Danio rerio: one gene and its partners. The protein of the gene in region 1 interacts with the protein of each later gene in a biochemical or structural test. Links are inferred from orthologs where the notes say so. Each region holds a gene or a part of one and is shown in the gene's direction. Other genes may lie near its edges.

The links.
Region 2: the proteins of ranbp3a (region 1) and rcc1 form a complex in vitro, tested with the Homo sapiens proteins (2 studies listed by BioGRID). The link is inferred for Danio rerio from reciprocal best matches to the Homo sapiens genes RANBP3 and RCC1.
Region 3: the proteins of ranbp3a (region 1) and xpo1b form a complex in vitro, tested with the Homo sapiens proteins (2 studies listed by BioGRID). The link is inferred for Danio rerio from reciprocal best matches to the Homo sapiens genes RANBP3 and XPO1.

What each region holds. Positions count from the first base shown.
Region 1 is NC_133186.1:6,432,416-6,438,832, forward strand, and holds part of ranbp3a (ran-binding protein 3a), read left to right. Parts: intron 1-354; coding exon 355-420; intron 421-2,520; coding exon 2,521-2,613; intron 2,614-2,699; coding exon 2,700-2,812; intron 2,813-3,464; coding exon 3,465-3,569; intron 3,570-5,597; coding exon 5,598-5,692; intron 5,693-5,790; coding exon 5,791-5,866; intron 5,867-5,987; coding exon 5,988-6,096; intron 6,097-6,417. UniProt on the Homo sapiens protein: Acts as a cofactor for XPO1/CRM1-mediated nuclear export, perhaps as export complex scaffolding protein. Bound to XPO1/CRM1, stabilizes the XPO1/CRM1-cargo interaction. In the absence of Ran-bound GTP prevents binding of XPO1/CRM1 to the nuclear pore complex.
Region 2 is NC_133191.1:37,414,264-37,420,579, reverse strand, and holds the end of rcc1 (regulator of chromosome condensation), read left to right. Parts: intron 1-805; coding exon 806-902; intron 903-975; coding exon 976-1,098; intron 1,099-1,591; coding exon 1,592-1,738; intron 1,739-1,818; coding exon 1,819-1,938; intron 1,939-2,052; coding exon 2,053-2,205; intron 2,206-4,099; coding exon 4,100-4,275; 3' UTR 4,276-4,855; downstream 4,856-6,316. UniProt on the Homo sapiens protein: Guanine-nucleotide releasing factor that promotes the exchange of Ran-bound GDP by GTP, and thereby plays an important role in RAN-mediated functions in nuclear import and mitosis.
Region 3 is NC_133192.1:25,331,541-25,337,478, forward strand, and holds part of xpo1b (exportin-1), read left to right. Parts: intron 1-1,639; coding exon 1,640-1,834; intron 1,835-2,910; coding exon 2,911-3,079; intron 3,080-3,167; coding exon 3,168-3,302; intron 3,303-3,603; coding exon 3,604-3,763; intron 3,764-4,120; coding exon 4,121-4,217; intron 4,218-5,938. UniProt on the Homo sapiens protein: Mediates the nuclear export of cellular proteins (cargos) bearing a leucine-rich nuclear export signal (NES) and of RNAs.

The sequences.
Region 1 (6,417 bases):
GCATAAGACGTGTCACTCGTATAGTTTTGAATGGGGAACAGTCAATATGGCGAATGATGCCTCACCTTTTAGTACAGGAACCAATTATTGATCGCTATATAGACTGATGATTCTCAGGGGGAGGGGCTCAGAACAGATGAGAAATGACTTTGGTTAAGCTCTCTCAGCCACCGTATGAACATCATGAATGGAAATCAAATGGTGTTTTGTTAAACAGACTTGTAAAATAATGTTGTTTTGAAAGTTTACCAAGACAAATATTTGCACAATATGTAAATTGTCTGAAAGTAGTATGTGTTCGATTTCCGATCACATCGACCAATCTTGTTTTCTTTACTTGACTTTTTTGATTAGAAGAGAAGACTGTGGGGTTTCGCCTGAAGCCCCCGACTCTGATCCACGGCCAGGCTCCGAGTGCTGGTGAGTCAGTGTTGGAACATCTGCTGTTTTGTACAGCGTGTTGATTAATGTCCAGTTGTGCTGTTTTCATGAGCTTGTTTATTTACACGGCTCCAAGCACTCACATTCACACTGTGATCCTTCTGAATCAGAAAACATAAGAGGTCTTGACAGGGTTGACGGATGCGTTTCTGTCACCAGGGTTCTGATTTACAAATTCTTTGCAGTTAAAAGTAAACGTACACCAGAATAATTTGTAATTAATGATTTTGTCAGTTAATAATATGATTGTGCTATTAATATTAAGGTTAAAAGGGCTGTATGTAAGTTTTTTACTCTTCTAAAGCGTAAAATACCATAATAAGTTTGCAGATATTTAAGAAACATTACATCACACTATGCTATCCGAACCGTGCCCAGCCCCATTTCCCGGATCGTTTGAGAAGTGTGAGTGCTCTCAATCGGGCTCAGGCACAGTTCACTTGGCCGGCCCTGGCCCGGTTGGATAAGGTGTGCCAGAGTGCGGTTCACTTGGGCTTTGGCTCTGTTTGCTTGTGTGGGTGCAAAACGTGCCTGAGTCAGAAACTGAAAGCGGGACGTGACTTTTAAGGGATATACGGATTTATTAATCATTTTTACTGTTCAATAAACGCAAACTGTCATAGTTTATTAAAGACGCAAACCCCTCACTGCACGACAGCTGCACCTTCAGCAAACCTCCTCATTCCTGCAGCACGAGGACTTTATGATTGTTTATGAGCGTCAGAAGTGGCTGATCTATTCGACGAAATATTTGACTACGTGTCACCGCATCCCAAACGACTAAAGCGATAGTCGCTTGCTGAACAGCGCATTATCGATGACGTAAACATGCCCAGGCCTGAATGTGATGTGAGTGCGGGCCATCGGGGGAGACGGGAGGGGGCGACAATCGTGCTTTGGCCCGGTTCAAGGCCACTGTATATAGTGTGAGTACAAGTGAACATTCTTGTTTATCAGAAAAACAAATCTCGTTACGTAGTGTGTTGTTAGTACACGGGGTTAATGTAACCTGCTCACCTAATGTTTACGTTCACAATATTTATACTTTTTGCTAATTAATAACCACCTCATGTGGAACTCTGAATCTGCATCTCATTTCGGAGTCTGCTACTGTCCACTGGAGGTCCCATTTCATTCACCATGCACACTTTGTGAGCCTTCCTGACTGAATGAATGAAATATGCGGTTTTCAACCAAGGCAACGCAGAGTGCTGAAATGTAATTGGCTGAACTGCGAACTTTAAACTGTTAAAAATCTGCAAATATTTTAAGGTATTTTTATGCTTTAGAAGAGTCAAAAACTCAGCATCTTTAAATAAAAAACAACAGTTTTTTACTTTTTTTTTTATTAAATGCTAATGGTCATATTCAATTCAATTCAATTCAGCTTTATTTGTATAGCGCTTTTACAATGTAGATTGTGTCAAAGCAGCTTCACATAAATGGTCATAGTAACTGGAACAGTGTGGTTCAGGTTTTAGTGTTTAAGTTCAGTTCAGTTTAGCTCAGTTCAGTGTGATTTAATCATTACTGAGAGTTCAAACACTGAAGAGCAAATTCATCGATGCGTAGCTCTACCAATCCTGAACCATGCGAGGCAGTGGCGACAGCGGAGAGGGAAAAAAAAACTTCACCTGATGGGAGTGAAGAAAAAAAACCTTGAGAGAACCAGACTCAGTTGGGCACGACCATTTTAATTTCTCCGCTGGCCAAAAGTCTTGTGCAGAGCTTCATTCGCCGTGGTTTAGGCTGGAAGATCACTGTTCTAAGGGGGGCACTGTTCTGAGGGGGGCTCATATCTGTTTTAATCCATTATGCTAAGCTAAAGTGACCCTGCCAGAACAAAGAAATTGGCTGAATGTAGTCAAAAATGGTTGAAGTTGACAAGGAGACTTGTAAAACAAGCCATTTTCAAAAATAGGTGAAGCGTTCCTTTAAAACACAAGCAAATGATAAACTTTCACTCGCTTATGGTTATACTTTGCATTGGGATGATGATGTGACTATTGAAGACGCACATTGCAATATAGATGCTGAGGCTTTCTTAATGTTAATTGTTATTTAATTGGTTTCTTTCAGGTGTCCCCAGTCCAAAACCCAAAGAAGCCCAGCGGAGCATCCTGAGGCCTCCCGTCCTGCAGCCCCCTCCGGTCAAAAGCCCCCCTCAGAACAGTGAGTACACCACGAAGATCCTCTCACAGAGAAAAGCTGAAGGGGAAGCACAGCAGGTGACAGCTGACGTCTTTTTCTTTCACCAGACATAAGCAGCAACAGTTCAAATGGAGTGAAAAAGCTCTCAGATGGAGGAACAGAATGTGAAGGTCACTCAGAGGCATCCGCTGCTGGCACTCAGGAAAATTCGGAGTCATTGGTAAGATACGACACACTTAAAGCCATGTCCCAAACAGCACTGTTGTCTGCTTTAAATTGTCACGCAAAAACTATGAGGTGCATTTTGGTGGGTAGTACCGGCATGATCATGCAGTGCTGCAGAAAGGCTGGTACTTTTACCTTTTTAAAAATAAAGTACACGCTTGGTACAAATTTACTTTATCAACACTGTTCAAAATACTTTAATCAATGGAGCTAACTTGCTATAAAAAATTATATTTTGCAAAACATTTTGCTTGAAAAATGTGCACTCTCTAATCAATTTCAATAACAATCCCACTATAATACTTTATTTTCTATGTATATTTAAAATGTTAATATATTTTTAAATTGTGGATTAAGTGTCTACATACTTTTATGGGCCACTGTAATGTTTAAACACTGTGTTTTTCTTCAAGATAAGCGTGTTTGAACGCAGCACGGGCTCTGGTCCAGAAGCCAGACAAGTTTCGTTTTATTTTACATGGCTGTGGCTTCCAGAAAATACTTTATCATCTTGTTCTGAACAACTTCGTTTTTCTTGGCTGACCCTGTGTTTCTAGATGAAATTGTGAAACGTGTACGCTGAAAACTGAACAAAATGTTTGACTGGTCACACCTTTAACTTAAATTACCTTTCATTGTTTTTTAAGGACAAGAGCACTTTGGAGCCCGAAACAGATGACAAACCAGAGCAACACGGTGCCCAGATTGATGCCAGTTTTGTATTTGGAGAGAATATGAGGGACAGAGCAAAGGTTTAATTCAGTTGATTTGGATAATTTTTATAGCTTCTGATATATAAACATAGTAAAGTTCAATTCATGTAAAAGCACGGACCATTTCAAAGAATTATGTTGAAAGTGCTTCAGTGGTTTGTTTGCATCATTATCAGAATTTTGTTTAGAAGTCACCACATAACAATAGTGAATGTTAATTAAAAATCTGCACTAAAGTTGCAGTCCATTATTATAATTTTTTAAATGAAATTAATACTTGAATTCTGCAAAGTGTATTAATTTCACCAAAGACTAATTTATAATGTTACAAAAGTTTAAATCATTACTAATCTATATATATATCTATATATATATACACACACACACACACATACATATATACATATATATATATATAATATATATATATATATCAGTTTTCACAAAATTATTATGGAGCTCAAATGTTGACCGCAGTGATAATGCGATAGAGAAATAAGAACTAAATGATTGTATTAGAATGATTTTGGATCAAATCACTGAATGCTAATATTCAGATTTAACACAAAAGTAGCATTTTAAGCTATACAATAATATTGACTCGTATTTAAAATTTGAATAATGTTTTACACTTCTACAGTATTTTGTTTTGAATTAAAAGCATTAACAAATCTTCCCGACTCCAAACTTCTGAACAGTAGTGTGTACTACCAAATGTTGCTTGTCATTAGGGCAGACAGAATCTGCTAACATTTTTTGCTATTTCTGCCCAGAATTTGGTAAAAAATCTGAAACCTAATATGAAATAAAAGTAATACATTTTAAACTTGTATTTAATGTTTACAATGCAAATCCAATTAGATCCATTGTTTGGTAAACTAAGCAAGTATCTCATATAATATATCTGCTAAAAGACATAAAATATTACTTTACAAACTTTGTTGTAAATAAATCTTATGAACAAAAATTTACAAGTAAATAAATAGCCTCAATGATGGGCTAAAAATCTCCGTAAATCTGCTTGTGCAGATTCCGTGTGGGCCTACTCATCATTATTATTATTTTGACAAAAAGTTGAAGACTGAGTTTCAGATTAAAGAATTCTCTATTTTTACATATTATGTCCACATATTACATATTAAATAAAATCAAATAAACCTACCCACATCACAGGCCATCCTGCAAAAGACTTAACAATCTAGTCGCAAAGTCTAAAGCACATGGCACAAAAGCATTAAGGACTTGTCCCAATCGACTTTTGCTATTTTAAGGACAGAAAAATTTGGTCTGCAGCCCCGACGCATGGTCTAACAGGGTTGTGTTTATTTTCTTAATGAGTTACAGGTGTGTTTTGAGCAGAGCTTTAAACCAATCAGAGTCTCATCTCCTATTCCTTTTACGAGTCAGTTGCGTCATGCCATGGCACATTTGCTATTAACATGGCGGACTTTATAAGTGGAAAAACTGAACCCTTCACTAGCATGAAAACAGTTAAACCATCTGCAGCACGATTATAAAGAAAGAGCCTCCTCCGTTCAGCCTTTCTCAACTTTCTCTTTACTTTTCCTATTTTTTTTTCTCCTTTACTTTCGTAGAGTAATAAAACGGTGTTGTACACACCAAATGAATTTGCTATTTACTCAACATGGTGAAAATGTAAAAATTACAGTTGCGCTGATCTGAAAATAGCAACAAATCATGCCAAACACGTCTTGCGCCTTATTGCGCTGTGTTTATGATGGGGCCCTTTGTATTTAAAAAACACTGTTAAATCATCATTATTATTTTAAACTAGATTTTAATGTTTTAGTTTAGATTTGATAGTTCCGTTTTTACCCTTAAGTTATTTATTTACCCTTAAGTTAAAGTAATTGACAATAATGTTTCATTTATATTTTGTTTTTATTTTATTTTTTAACATATCACGATTTCGTTGTCATATTACCCATTCCTTTTAATAATAATAATAATAAAAAAGCTTAACTTATATCAATATATTGAATGTGAAAAAATATATGTTTTGATGTTTTGCTTTGCTTTTGAATGTTAAATTGTATTTTCTTCCAGGTGGGAAACAGTTTGGACTCCTCACAGAAAGCCGATGGCCTTCAGACAGAAAATTCTGGGGAAACTAACTACTTCTTGCAGTGCATCACTCCCAGGTATTGCAGTTCAAATGTTCATATTTAAAGACTTTTTTTACAGATCCCCTCATGCAGAATCTTGTAATGTTTCCTGGCATTGATATTGTTTCTTATAGCGCACAAAAACCTGACAGCAGCAATGCCAACAGTGTGAAGTTTGTCTTTGGACAGAACATGTTGGATCGCGTTGTGGTAAAGCAGTAAATTCCTTTTGTGTGTGTGTCATAGTTTAATACAGTCAAGTTATAGATCACAGTTCCCGATGTTTAAGTCTTGTTTATCACTCAATCCCACCCGTATCGAACGCTTCCAGGCTCTGCCGAAATTCACCACCGATGCACCAGGAGGCAGTAGAGAGTCGGGTTCAGAGATGGGCCTGTTCAGCCAGCTTTCATCTACACAAGAGCAAACTGTGGAGAAGAGTATGTTTCAGATCCGATCACATTCACACTGACAAATGGAGAGACAAAGAGTTTTTGTATTATTATAGCAAGATATGATAACTAAACATTATAAGCTATATTTAAGAAACAGTAGATCTTACTCAGATGTATTGTGTAATCATCTAATCACTCAATCAATGTTGTAAAGGCATCATTGTAAACAATCTATCATGGAAAAAACTAGGAACAAGGAAAGCCATGCGGTATTAAAAACTCATTAGCATTTGCTGAATCTATACATTATATTACAGACTGTATAATAGTTTGCATTATATATAATTAAAAAAAAATATTCTGCTT
Region 2 (6,316 bases), on another chromosome or scaffold:
TATATGCATGAAACTTAAGGTTTTATAACAAATTCATTAGGTTGAATAGAAGTTATACTCAACAATTTGGATCAAAAACCAACAAATATATATTTTTGATTATGTAATTGCCTTGGTGAAAGTGTATACAACTACAATAATCTTGTTTTGACACATTAAAGTATACCATTAAGAAATATATTTATTTGTTTATTTATTTATTTATTTTTATTTGGAAACCGGGCCATTAGAAATAATCATTCGTGTAAAGCCCTGTATAAGTCTAAAATTTAATTCATAATGGTCTCAAATGGGTCTTAAATTTGACTTGATGAAAGTTGCAGAAACCCTGTTCTGGTACTACAGCAAATCCTTGGTCAGTCTAGCAGAATACAGAACAACTTTCTAACTGGATTGTTCTTGACACACTATCTCTCTTTAGCAGTGCTGTTGTGAACATCAGTGCTGTTTCATCTGCTGTAAATCATTTGTGTTGTTGGTTAAAAAAATAATAATTATAAATAAATAAATAATACTTAAACTTGTATGTAAACAAACCGGATCTTCTGCTGTGTTGCTGTTGGAAGTGATCAATGTGGTGAGTGGACAAACTGTCTGGATGATGCAAAAAAGCAATACTATTTAATTCTGCTTTAAAACAAATATATCAAACACGTTATCGCTTTTTTTTTTTTTTTTTTTTTTTTTTTTTTTTTTTCAATTAAAACTTTTATTGTGAAAATTCTTTGTGCTCGTAGCAATACTGGTTTAGTATGAAAGTGTTGACTTGACTTCTATGACTTCTGACTTCTCCTTTCTGTTCCAGGACAATAATGGCGTAATTGGACTCCTGGAGCCCATGAAAAAATGCACTGTGCCTGTCAAAGTTCCTATAGACAAACCTGTGGTTAAAATAGTCTCAGGTGGGTCATTTAGGGTGTAATGTGATGGTAGTGTATGAATTTGTTCTAATGGTGTTTTGTATTGCTGCTAAAGGGAATGATCATTTGGTCATGCTGACTGCGCATGGAGAGCTGTACACCTCAGGATGTGGAGAACAAGGCCAGCTGGGCCGTGTGGCTGAACACTTTGCCAACCGTGGAGGAAGGAAGGGATTGAGTATGTATCTTGCTGTTGGATGAATTATCTCCTGGAATGTGAATAAACCTTATGAGCTTATGAGAATCTTTTTGTTTGTTTTTGTTTGAATGCATGTATATGTGTGTGTATTTTAATTATTGGCCACTTGTACTGTAGGCATTTAAAAATATTTTATTTTCCAATTGACCTTATTTTTTATTTTTTGCATCAGCTGCTGTTACAGGATTCAAAAAAACACACTTGACAAATCACCATATTAAATGTATTTTTGAAGGGTCATGCTAGACAGACTAGAGTAATAATTCATTGCTTCATTATTCAGTGACACTTGATCCTTCAAAAATGACATTATAGGGCATTCATCGATCCTATTAATTTTTAAAATGTAGTTTAGGAATGTGTAGCAAGATTAATAAATGTTAGTGAAAAGGGTTTGTAGGCATTCCAGTTACTGCTATTATTGCTGAATGTGTTTTACAGAGTATTCATATTTTCATTTTCCCTGTCTCAGTGAGACTGCTGGAGCCGCAGATGGTTATAATAAAACCGCGAGGGAAGGTGGTCTTCACTGATGTCTTCTGTGGGGCATACTTCACCTTCGCTGTTTCTAAAGAGGGGCACGTCTATGGATTTGGCCTTTCCAACTACCATCAGCTTGGTAAGATTTTACATATTTAATCCTGGTGATAATATGGTTGCATTTTGCACTCTTTTTATATATTTTTTTCTTTAATACAGGCACCCAAAGCACAAACACTTGCTTTGTTCCTGTGAAACTCAGCTCTTTCAAAAACTCCACCACCTCCTGGGTGGGTTTCTCTGGAGGACAGCATCACACACTGTGCCTCAATTCAGAAGGTAATTTATTCGCAAATCTCATTGCGTAGCTGTGTGGTGTTTCATATTCTGCTGCTGCTGAATCATGTGCTCCAGTGTTTATAAAGGATGTTTTTCTGCTGTTTCTCTCCACAGGAAAGGCGTACAGTCTAGGCCGGGCAGAGTATGGTCGTCTGGGTTTGGGGAAGGACGTCGGAGAGAAGAGTGAGCCCACAGTTGTTCCTGGGATCAGTGATGTTCAAGTGGTTGCCTGTGGTGCCTCTGTTAGCTACGCTGTCACCAAACAAGGTGAGAACACATCCTCTGCTTTTTTCATGGAATTTAGATTTAATGTGGATCATTTTTTTTTATTGCACATGAAACTACATGTCGTTATGCAACTTTGAAATGCAAAATGAACAACTAAGACTACTTTATCCACCATCATCAAATCTTTCTTGGGGTCTTTTTACCCTTCCATATTTGAAAGCATTACAAAGTTAGCTTGACTTAAAAAAATAAATAATAATAATAATAATATCAGTTCAAATAATCAACTCTAAATTTCCTTAATTTTAGTAGCAAGTCTTTTTGTAGGAAGTAAATAATTAGTTGGACTGGAAAGAATCTGCAGACTCTTTTGGAAAATATAAAGGGGTGTTTTAATGTTAACTTATACTTTCACTGTCAATTTATATTAAGTTTTTACTGCAAATGGCACAACCATAATGGAATTGTAAATATACATATTACCTTGTATTGTATTTTTTCTTATGTTTTTTTATTAAATAAAAAATCTTTAAATAAATTCATTTACAGACAACTACGCGAGTAAATGAATGCATCGGATGATCTGTTTGCTTGTTTGCAGAAAGCTTTGGGTACAGATTCAGTGTTTGTTTGTTTGTTTGTTTGTTTTTTGTTTTTTTTCCAGTCCCAGTACTGATCAGTTTTGCTGAAAACTGCATATTTTGATTTAACAGTTAAATATTTGTATAGGAGTTACCATGTAATAAAAGCATACCTGACAACATTGACAACAGTTAGCTTCAAATGATAAAATACATAGCAAACGTTAGGCATTATTGACAATAAAATTAAAGGTTTAGCCTATTAAAATCAATGGCCTATACAGAAATTTAATCGTTATTAATCTCGTTCACTCTTTCATAAGCTGTGTTTAAATATTGATTAATTACTAATAGTTATTTAGTGAAGAACAGTAAATGAGTCTCGTTTTGTTTGATAAGAGGTGTCACTGTAAGAATGCACAGATCTTTAGGCTAATGAAAGCATTTGATTACTTGAGTAACTGTTTATGCTCCATTTTGGTGAAAATTAGTTGTTTAAAATAAAACAAGCAGGATGGATTTGTTTACATATTATTAAGTGTATTTGTCGGTTTAAACATGCACCCTAATCCAAAAGTAACTATATTCACTCTAAATGATGTGTACAGAAGCTGATCTGGGAACAGTTTATCATACGGACCGTGTCCGTCAGTCAGCATTAATACATGCATGCACTGATACAGAGATTGTACAGTTAAGGCAACAGGAAACTTTAAAACAAAAAAATAAATGAATATGTTTTTAGATTAATTTCATTGTGTTTTCAAGCCACAATAGTGAATCCACAATTCTCTTGAACAGCTCTTGCATTTTTCATTTTTGAGATCGGCTCTGTATGAAAAGTGAAAGTACAATCATCAACACAAAGATTAAAAACACGGGAGAAATATGGAAAATACTTAAATGGGATGATTAAATGGTAGAATATGGGAGAATCCTAAAGCTAAAGTGGGAGTGTTGACTGGTAATGTATTAGTGGGATAAAGGAAGTTTTTTTTTTTTTTTTTTTTTTTTTTTTTTTTTTTTTTCTTCTTTCAATAAATTGCTTGTTGGTTTATCCAATATTTATTGATTTTTTTGTATTTTGATAATTTAAATTGCACCGTGTGAAGCTGATCAAAACTGACCAGTCCATTTAGCTTTTAGCATTCATTGTCTATTTATGTATTTATGGCAAATGGAACATGACGTATTGTTGTTCACAGTGTGTCTTCCACCCGTAATTACATTCATTGCAGCACTCAGAGTGTTGTATTTTTAGAACATTAAACAATAACGTGATGTGCTCTAGGCTTGTTTTGATTTTGCATTAGCGCTGTTTGACTTCTCTAACGCTGGTATGTGTTTGCCAGGCTCTGTGTTTTCCTGGGGAATGGGCACCAACCTGCAGCTGGGCACAGGAGAGGAGGAGGATGAATGGAGCCCTGTGGAGATGACTGGTAAACAGCTGGAAAACCGTGTGGTTCTGTCGGTGTCCAGCGGAGGGCAGCACACAGTCCTGCTGGTCAAAGATAAGCAGGAGAGCTGATCATTAACTCCTCCACTAAAGACAGCTTAGCCAAACTACTGTATCAGTGGTATCTGTAACCTATAGGGGTGTCTGGGGTTCATAATGCTTCCTGTGCTGAGCCAAGCCAGTCAATGAGGGAGGATCATCTAATTAAACCTTTTGTCCCGCTTTATCGGGAGCCCAAATGTTCACTGGATATGCTCCGGTAGATGATCAAAGAGCCTTTTTTATGGACTTTTTTTTTTTCCTTGCTTTATTTTCTTAATTCTTTTTAACAAAGATCTTTAGAATGCTTCCTAGAGACTGCCTGTTGCGAATGATTGTATGCATGAATACGTGATTTAATAAGTCTTTTAAAATGAGTTTCCCCAGAAACTGTTTTTTTTTTAAATTCCACATTTTGGTGCGAGCAATAACGGGTTACAATAGCAGGTTTAATCAGGATAATAACACATTCGGGGGGAGAAAACTAAACTGATTCAGTATTGCTGTACTTAACAGTGTTGAACTCTTTTTCTTAATCTCTTAAATGAAACTGTTATTGTATCCATGCATTGCTGCCCTGTGGACGATTAATAAAAATGTGTGTTTACAGAAACCGATATATGGGTACTCACTAAAAAGTTGATTTAAGCAGGTATATTAGGGTCTATTTTGAATATGCAATTTCAAGCCTTTAGTGTTATAACTTTCACATTCTTCGGGGTGTACTGCTTGTATTTGTAAGTTAGTTAATTTGTAATTGGTTAATTTGGGATTTATTTTTATGTATTTTGAGAGCTGCAGTAATACAAGTTGCGGAATAATATTACTTTTGTAACTGAGTAAAGTAACACACTACTATGAAAAACAAGTAATGATATTCGAGTTGCTTTTTGTGAAAATTTAATGGCTTTTAAAAAAAAATAAGTTGCTAAATTAAATTGACTCAGTAGCTATGTTTTCAACCACCTATTTTTATGTACGTTTTGCCAATGCGCATAAACGGTTGATGGAAACGCCATGATGCGCATAAACCGTCTTACTGTTTAACTAATACCGTTTAAGCATTAGATATCTTTTACTATTAATGACCTCCAGAATCAAGAGCATCTGTGCCCCACGTCTGACAACTTCAAATGCCACCGAACGTTCACAGCATGTCAGGATTGCCTTCTGAGGCGGAAGTCATTTATTAAATTAAGAAAAGATTGACACAGCTTCTCCTACAGCAGTAAAATCAGTTTTTACTGTTGATATTTGGCGCCAGTTAATCAGCAAGTGACGATTATGTTCGCTTTGACTCTTTGGATGAAAATGCTGCTTTATTCGCACTTCTTTTATGCGATAATCCAGTTTTGCATGGTTCATTCTCATTTTTGGATGGAAACAGCTATTGATTTTACTTGAGACATATAATGCTAAAGTAGCAAACATTGCTTTAAACCTTCAATAATTTGTATATATAGCTCAGGGGTCTGTTCTTCATATGTGGATTACTCTATTAGCTGGATATAGTTAACATTATATACAAATATACAAATGCATAGCATTTTTACGGTACCAGCTTTAGTACAGTTTGTCTATAATATTAGACATGCACAATATTTCACTTTTTTATTTTTTTAAGGAATAATTTATGCGGTCTTGCACATGTTTTGACTGCTAATATGATGGTGAATTGATGCTTCGTCGAAGTTGTAGATACCTTTACTGATATCGAAGCTTTTTTAACCAGCCAGTTATTTCTTTTAAGAAACTTGCCAAATTAAGCCGATTAAGAAACTTGAAATGGCCTAGGTCACTAAAGAAAGTCCGCTCTAAATGTAAAACTAAATATTCTTGACACATGAAAGTGTAAAGTCTGCAGCTCACAACAAAAGTGAAGAGCTATTGCGCATCATATTTCACAAACCATTCACTACGAGTTTAAGGTAATTTTGCTCACATGAATAATTAAATATTAATCAGATGGTCGTTACGCTGCTGTGCCATCAGCCAATCGTTGCATTGTTGATCATGATTTCAAGGGTCAATAGATCTGTTCTTCACAACACTCACAGAGATCTCGGATCAGTTT
Region 3 (5,938 bases), on another chromosome or scaffold:
AATATAAATTGTAGTACTAGTGACTTGTCAAAACTTACAAAAATATAAGAAAATAATATAAATAAATAATAATGACATATTATTGTAAATAATATAAGAAGTATACTTGTTTTGCAATGTTACTGTAGTCTTAAGCAGCATTATAATCTCAATGTAAGTTCTTGGTAGTTTATTTATTAATATTTTAATAAAACAATAATTAAGTAAATATATTGTCTTCCAGTATGACTTATTACACTTCATCTAAACATTTAATAATAAAGCTTATTCCTCATCAATAAAAAAAAAAATTATATATATATATATATATATATATATATATATATATATATATATATATATATATATATATATATATATATATATATATATATATATATATATATATATACATACATATATACATACATAAGCAATCATTTTGTTTTATAGAGAGCCAACTCTTATCCTTTTGAATGGCATTATTGCTTTTGGCTTGTGCTTTTGGCTAATTCACTGACGTTCTTCAAAGGAGTGGAGCTTAACCCTGTTCTTGGAGATTTACCTTCCTGCAGATTCCAGTTGCAACCCTGATTAAACACACCTGCCTGTAATTATTAAGTGCTGTTCAGGCCCTAATTCATTGGTTCAGGTGTGTTTGATCAGGGTTAAAGCTGAACACTGTAGGAAGGTAGATCTCCAGGAACAGGGTTGAGCAGCCCTGCTTCAAAGTATTTTGTAAACTGTAAACTTTTTTTTTTGGTCCCATCCATAACGCATGTTTATTTTTATCTTTTAAAATATAAAAAATGTTTACCGATTGATATTTTTCTCATCTTATTATTCTGTGTTTAGTTGTTTTGGAAAATATAAACAGATGTTTCAATATAAAGTTAACATACAGTACTTTCTCTGTGCATTTATGTTTTAAGTTTTTAGTGCCAAGTAATGTCACATCCATAACATGGGAATTGCTCAAAGAAAGTGTTTAATCCATATTTAACTATGCATTTAATGTTATCCAGTGGCAACATAAAAAATTGTTGGAAAAAAAACATGTCATGTAACAGAACATAAGAAATGCACTTTGCTTATTGACCTTATATTGCGATGCAGAAGTGCGTTTTTGCTATTTGATTCAGTTGTCTATGGGAGAAATGGATAAAAACAAATAGCATTATTGGTGAATAATAACAAATAAATAGTGTTAAAAGCAATGAGAAAAGCTAACAGTAAATTATCCATCCACACCCTGAAAAATGTGGTTTAGAAAATAACAACAACAAACAAAAAAATGTGCTCTTATCTGAGCATTCCATGAAAATTTAATTAACCAATCAAACCATTCTTGTGTTCACAAATAGCACTCAGTGATTAAATCAAAGTAAAATCATTATCTTTAATATAGCAAAACAAGACTCCACAACGGCCAAAATTTATTTTAGAATAAGCAAGAAATGATTGCAGCAGCCGAAAGTCTCATATCTGTCCGTTTGTTAAATTCAGTATTTGTCTCCATGCAGATCATGCTGTTCTACCTGCTTCAGGTCTGTCAGTCTGAACCTGTTGAGATTAGTGATGTCCTTACGCAACACACACTTATCCGCTCATCCTTTAAGCCTGTGTGCGCATGTGTGTTTTTTTTTTGTTCATGCTCTAGGTGGGGGAGAACTTTGTCCCTCCATTGCTGGATGCTGTGCTCATTGATTATCAGCGCAATGTTCCGGCGGCGAGAGAACCGGAAGTCCTCAGCACCATGGCAACAATCGTAAACAAACTGGGTGGACACATCACTGGAGAGATCCCACAGATATTTGATGCAGTGTTTGAGTGCACATTAAACATGATCAACAAAGTAAGCTGCATTTGTTTATCCATCACTATTATGAAATAAATATTTAATAGTACATTGTCATTTATTATTAAAGCCAGATTGCATCATACTTCTTATATTCATGTTTGTTGTTCAGTCCCTCCAGAATTTTGAATCTAGTGGTTCTTGAGATCAAAAATATACAAATTGTAAAATGTTTGTGTATTTTCAAAGCATAACACAAGAATTGAAGTGCACAATGTCATACGTTTTGAGAAAGCATCACAAAATCTGTCATTTTACGCCACAAATATAAAAATAATTTTCCCAGCAAAATCCTCGAGGGGCAGATTGTGTCCCACATTGAATTGCATTATATTCCTTTTTTACCTGGGTTTATGTACATTCACTTACAATAAATTACGGTATCACTTTATTTTGATGGTCCCTTAAACGCATTTTGTTGAATTGAACAAACATTGCATCTACATGCCAGTTAATTCTCATTAGATTATAAGTAGACTGTTAGGTAAGGGTTAGTTTAAGTTGATATGTACTTGCAAAGTTTTTATAGTCAGTTTAATGTCTGTTGAAACAGCAGTATCAACTGATATTAAGCAGACAGTCTACTAATACTCAAATAAGAAATGATTGTCATGTGGTTGCAATGCAACTTTGTCAACAAAATGTGCAATAGGGACCATAAAAATAAAGCCTTACCTAAATTAATTCCTAAATCATAAAGAGACTTTCAATATTTGATCAAATGTTTTTTTTTTTTTTTGCAAAAACCATTTTGCTTAAAGATAAAAAAAACCTTTAATACTAGTACTAATATTTATGAATGGATAAATTAATTTATTATTCGCTTTTTTACGATTCGCTTTTCATCAAACACATTTTATTAAACTTTTAACACTAGTACTATTACTTTATTTATTAATTTATAATGAAATGCATAAGATTTTACCAGAAATTAATAAATGTTTATCACGTAAAAAGAAAATTATTAAATGATGTAAAAAGGGAAAATATTATATAATATAGTCCCCATTTATTTTCCATGATATAAAAAATAAACAACTAAATAACTAGTATACATTTATATTTTTGTTTAGGATTTTGAAGAGTACCCAGAGCACCGGACGCATTTCTTCTACCTGCTTCAGGCGGTGAACTCTCACTGTTTCCCTGCATTCTTGGCCATACCCCCAGCCCAGTTTAAGCTTGTGCTGGACTCCATTATATGGGCTTTTAAACACACTATGAGAAATGTGGCAGACACTGGTGAGAACACTGATATCTTATGTACCGTAATGCCTAACTGATAAACCATAATCATTAAGCATAACATACAATGTGAAATGTCCTGCAGGCCTGCAGATCCTCTACACTCTGCTGCAGAATGTGGCTCAGGAGGAGGCAGCGGCTCAGAGCTTCTATCAGACATACTTCTGTGACATCCTTCAACACATCTTCTCTGTCGTCACGGACACGTCACACACAGCCGGTCAGCTCCTATCACTTGCTCCTTAAAACACTCTATTAATTATTTTAAATCATTGCAAGCCTGAAATAGTTTATACCCCTGGCAAATTTTGACTTAAAATTACTTTACAGAAGCGACATGGGCTTCTCCTAAAAGACAATAGGACTATGTACAAGAGGCATCAAATTCTCAGCTTTTATTCACATTCGAACAAAAGCTTTAGGTCAGAATTTGCTTGGGTATGAATAATTTCAGGCTTGACTCTAGTTTTTATAATTCAGTTCTTATATATGTCATTTTTTTTTTTGCATTAAAACTTTAGGTTTAACTATGCACGCATCAATATTAGCGTACATGTTTAACCTCGTCGAGGAAGGAAAAATCAGTACAACTCTGAACCCATCAAACCCAGTCAACAACCAAGTGTTCATCCAGGAGTATGTGGCCAACTTGCTTAAATCAGCTTTCCCACACTTACAAGAGTGAGTATCCCACAATGCACCTGAGCTGATGCTTCACAAACCTGCATCTTTTGAAAAAGGAATACTAATGCGTTGGGTTTAGAAGGACCCAAGTACTATACAGATTTTCAGAGCATTAGGAGGTTAATAATAAAATCAGTGTCAGTAAATCCACTAACTGCAGTTGTTTTGGTGATAATTGCATTTGGTTGAATGTCATGCAACACATCTCTCAGGTAAAAGCTTGTTTGTTCTCAGTAGACATCTTGCTGTGAGATTAATTAATACAGTTTTAGTTCTGCAGCAACAGTCTGCAAACTGTTCATGTCTAGTTTCATTTCCAATCTGACTGTATGATTGTTTTCTTCCTCTTTGTAGTGCCCAGGTAAAAGTATTTGTGACTGGCCTGTTCAGTTTAAACCAAGACATCGCAGCATTCAAGGAGCACTTGAGGGATTTCCTTGTACAGATCAAGGTGAGCTGCAAACCAGTTGAGAGCCTTAATAATCTCTAAATAAATTGGGTTGCCTTTAATACAATGTCAGTAGTAATGACGTATTTGAGCAGATGATAGATGAGGGTGTGAGTGGAGGAAATGGAGATGGTGTGAGGAAGCAAGTGTGCTGTAACTTTGACCTTTTAAGAGACCATGAAGGGTGGTGAAACTGTATGGGTCAGCTGAAGTGCATGGGAACAGAGTGTGTGTGTGTGTGTATACGTACATGTTTTTATATCCTGAGCGTTATTGTAGAAAATTGAAATCAAGAAAGCCAGGATAACAGAAGAAGCATGGCTTGACCTAGTTTAATTAGGTCCTCTAGGCTTAGTCCATTGCACATTTGCTTATCCAGGATGAGAACAAGCCGCTATGTCAAACCTGATGTTGATAGCCAGGATGTGTGGACATTCACGCACATGTTAACAGATTACAGGATCGATTACAGAATCAATGGTAACAAATATTGATAAAACCTGATGTGAGTTAAAAAATGCCTCTATTGTCCACCAATCTGGAAACTCCCGTTGTCTGTTTATTTTATTGTATTAAGTTTATTTAATCTTTATCAGTATAATCATTTATCTATCATTTCCATTTATACTTTTTTTCTTCATAATTGAGACTATTTAATCTTTTATTTGAGGTTTCATCAAAAAAAAAAACTATATAATAATAATAATAATAAGTAATACAAAAAAGATATGTAAAACGCATTCATTTCTAGTAGCATTGACATTAAAACTAACATTATAAATCACTAGGATTAATCTTAGCCTGGTTGTTAGCCTGCTCTGGTGTAGGCTAGCTGCAAAGAATAACTTAATTTAGCCTGTCAAGACTAAATTCACCAAGGATAGTCCCCGCTTAATTCCTTCTCTTACTTTTGTGCAATATCAGTCCAGGTGAACACTTAAACCTGAATGCATGGTCTCATATGTACTTTTGTCATTGTGGGGCATTAAATTGAGAACCTAATTTTTAAACATACTAATGACAGCTCCACCTAAAAAAAAAAAAAAACATGTAGTGTTAACCCAATTTGAACCTTATTAATGGTAACTATGGAATAACTAAAGAAACTGCTGTTTAATGGAATAACTGATTAGCCCAGCGCACATTAGTCATTTAACCATCAAAAATATAACATTTAACCATTATTTTTAACATAAAATGGTATACAGATTATATATTATATTATTACCAGTAAGATTTTATCAACACATTTCTATAGATTTAATTACTCATTTCTAATAACTAATATATTTTATTTTTGCCATAATGATAATAATATTTGACTAAAAGATATTTTTCTGGTGACATGTAAAGGCTTAACCAGGTTAAGTCGGCAAGTTAGGGTAATTAGGCAAAATACAATAAAAAATAATAATAAATAATGCAGATGACATGGTAGAAATTTGAACAGTGTCCTGGTTAGCCAAAATCTCGAGGAAAAACCTCCAGCACTTAAAAATTGTTTTCAGGTTTTGCACCATATGTTTTATTTTGCGTTTAATTTAGCGACTGCGGAATTATTCAGATCTAGAGAGACTGCTCAACACTGCTGCTCGTGTACTGTTCATTATAGTTCATGGATATTCAGCTTTTTAGGAGCTGAATATCAGGGAATTTGCCATTTGGTTTAGAGTGTGAACCCTGAACATTATTACGTCCTGACCAGATCTGTGTGTGAAAGATAG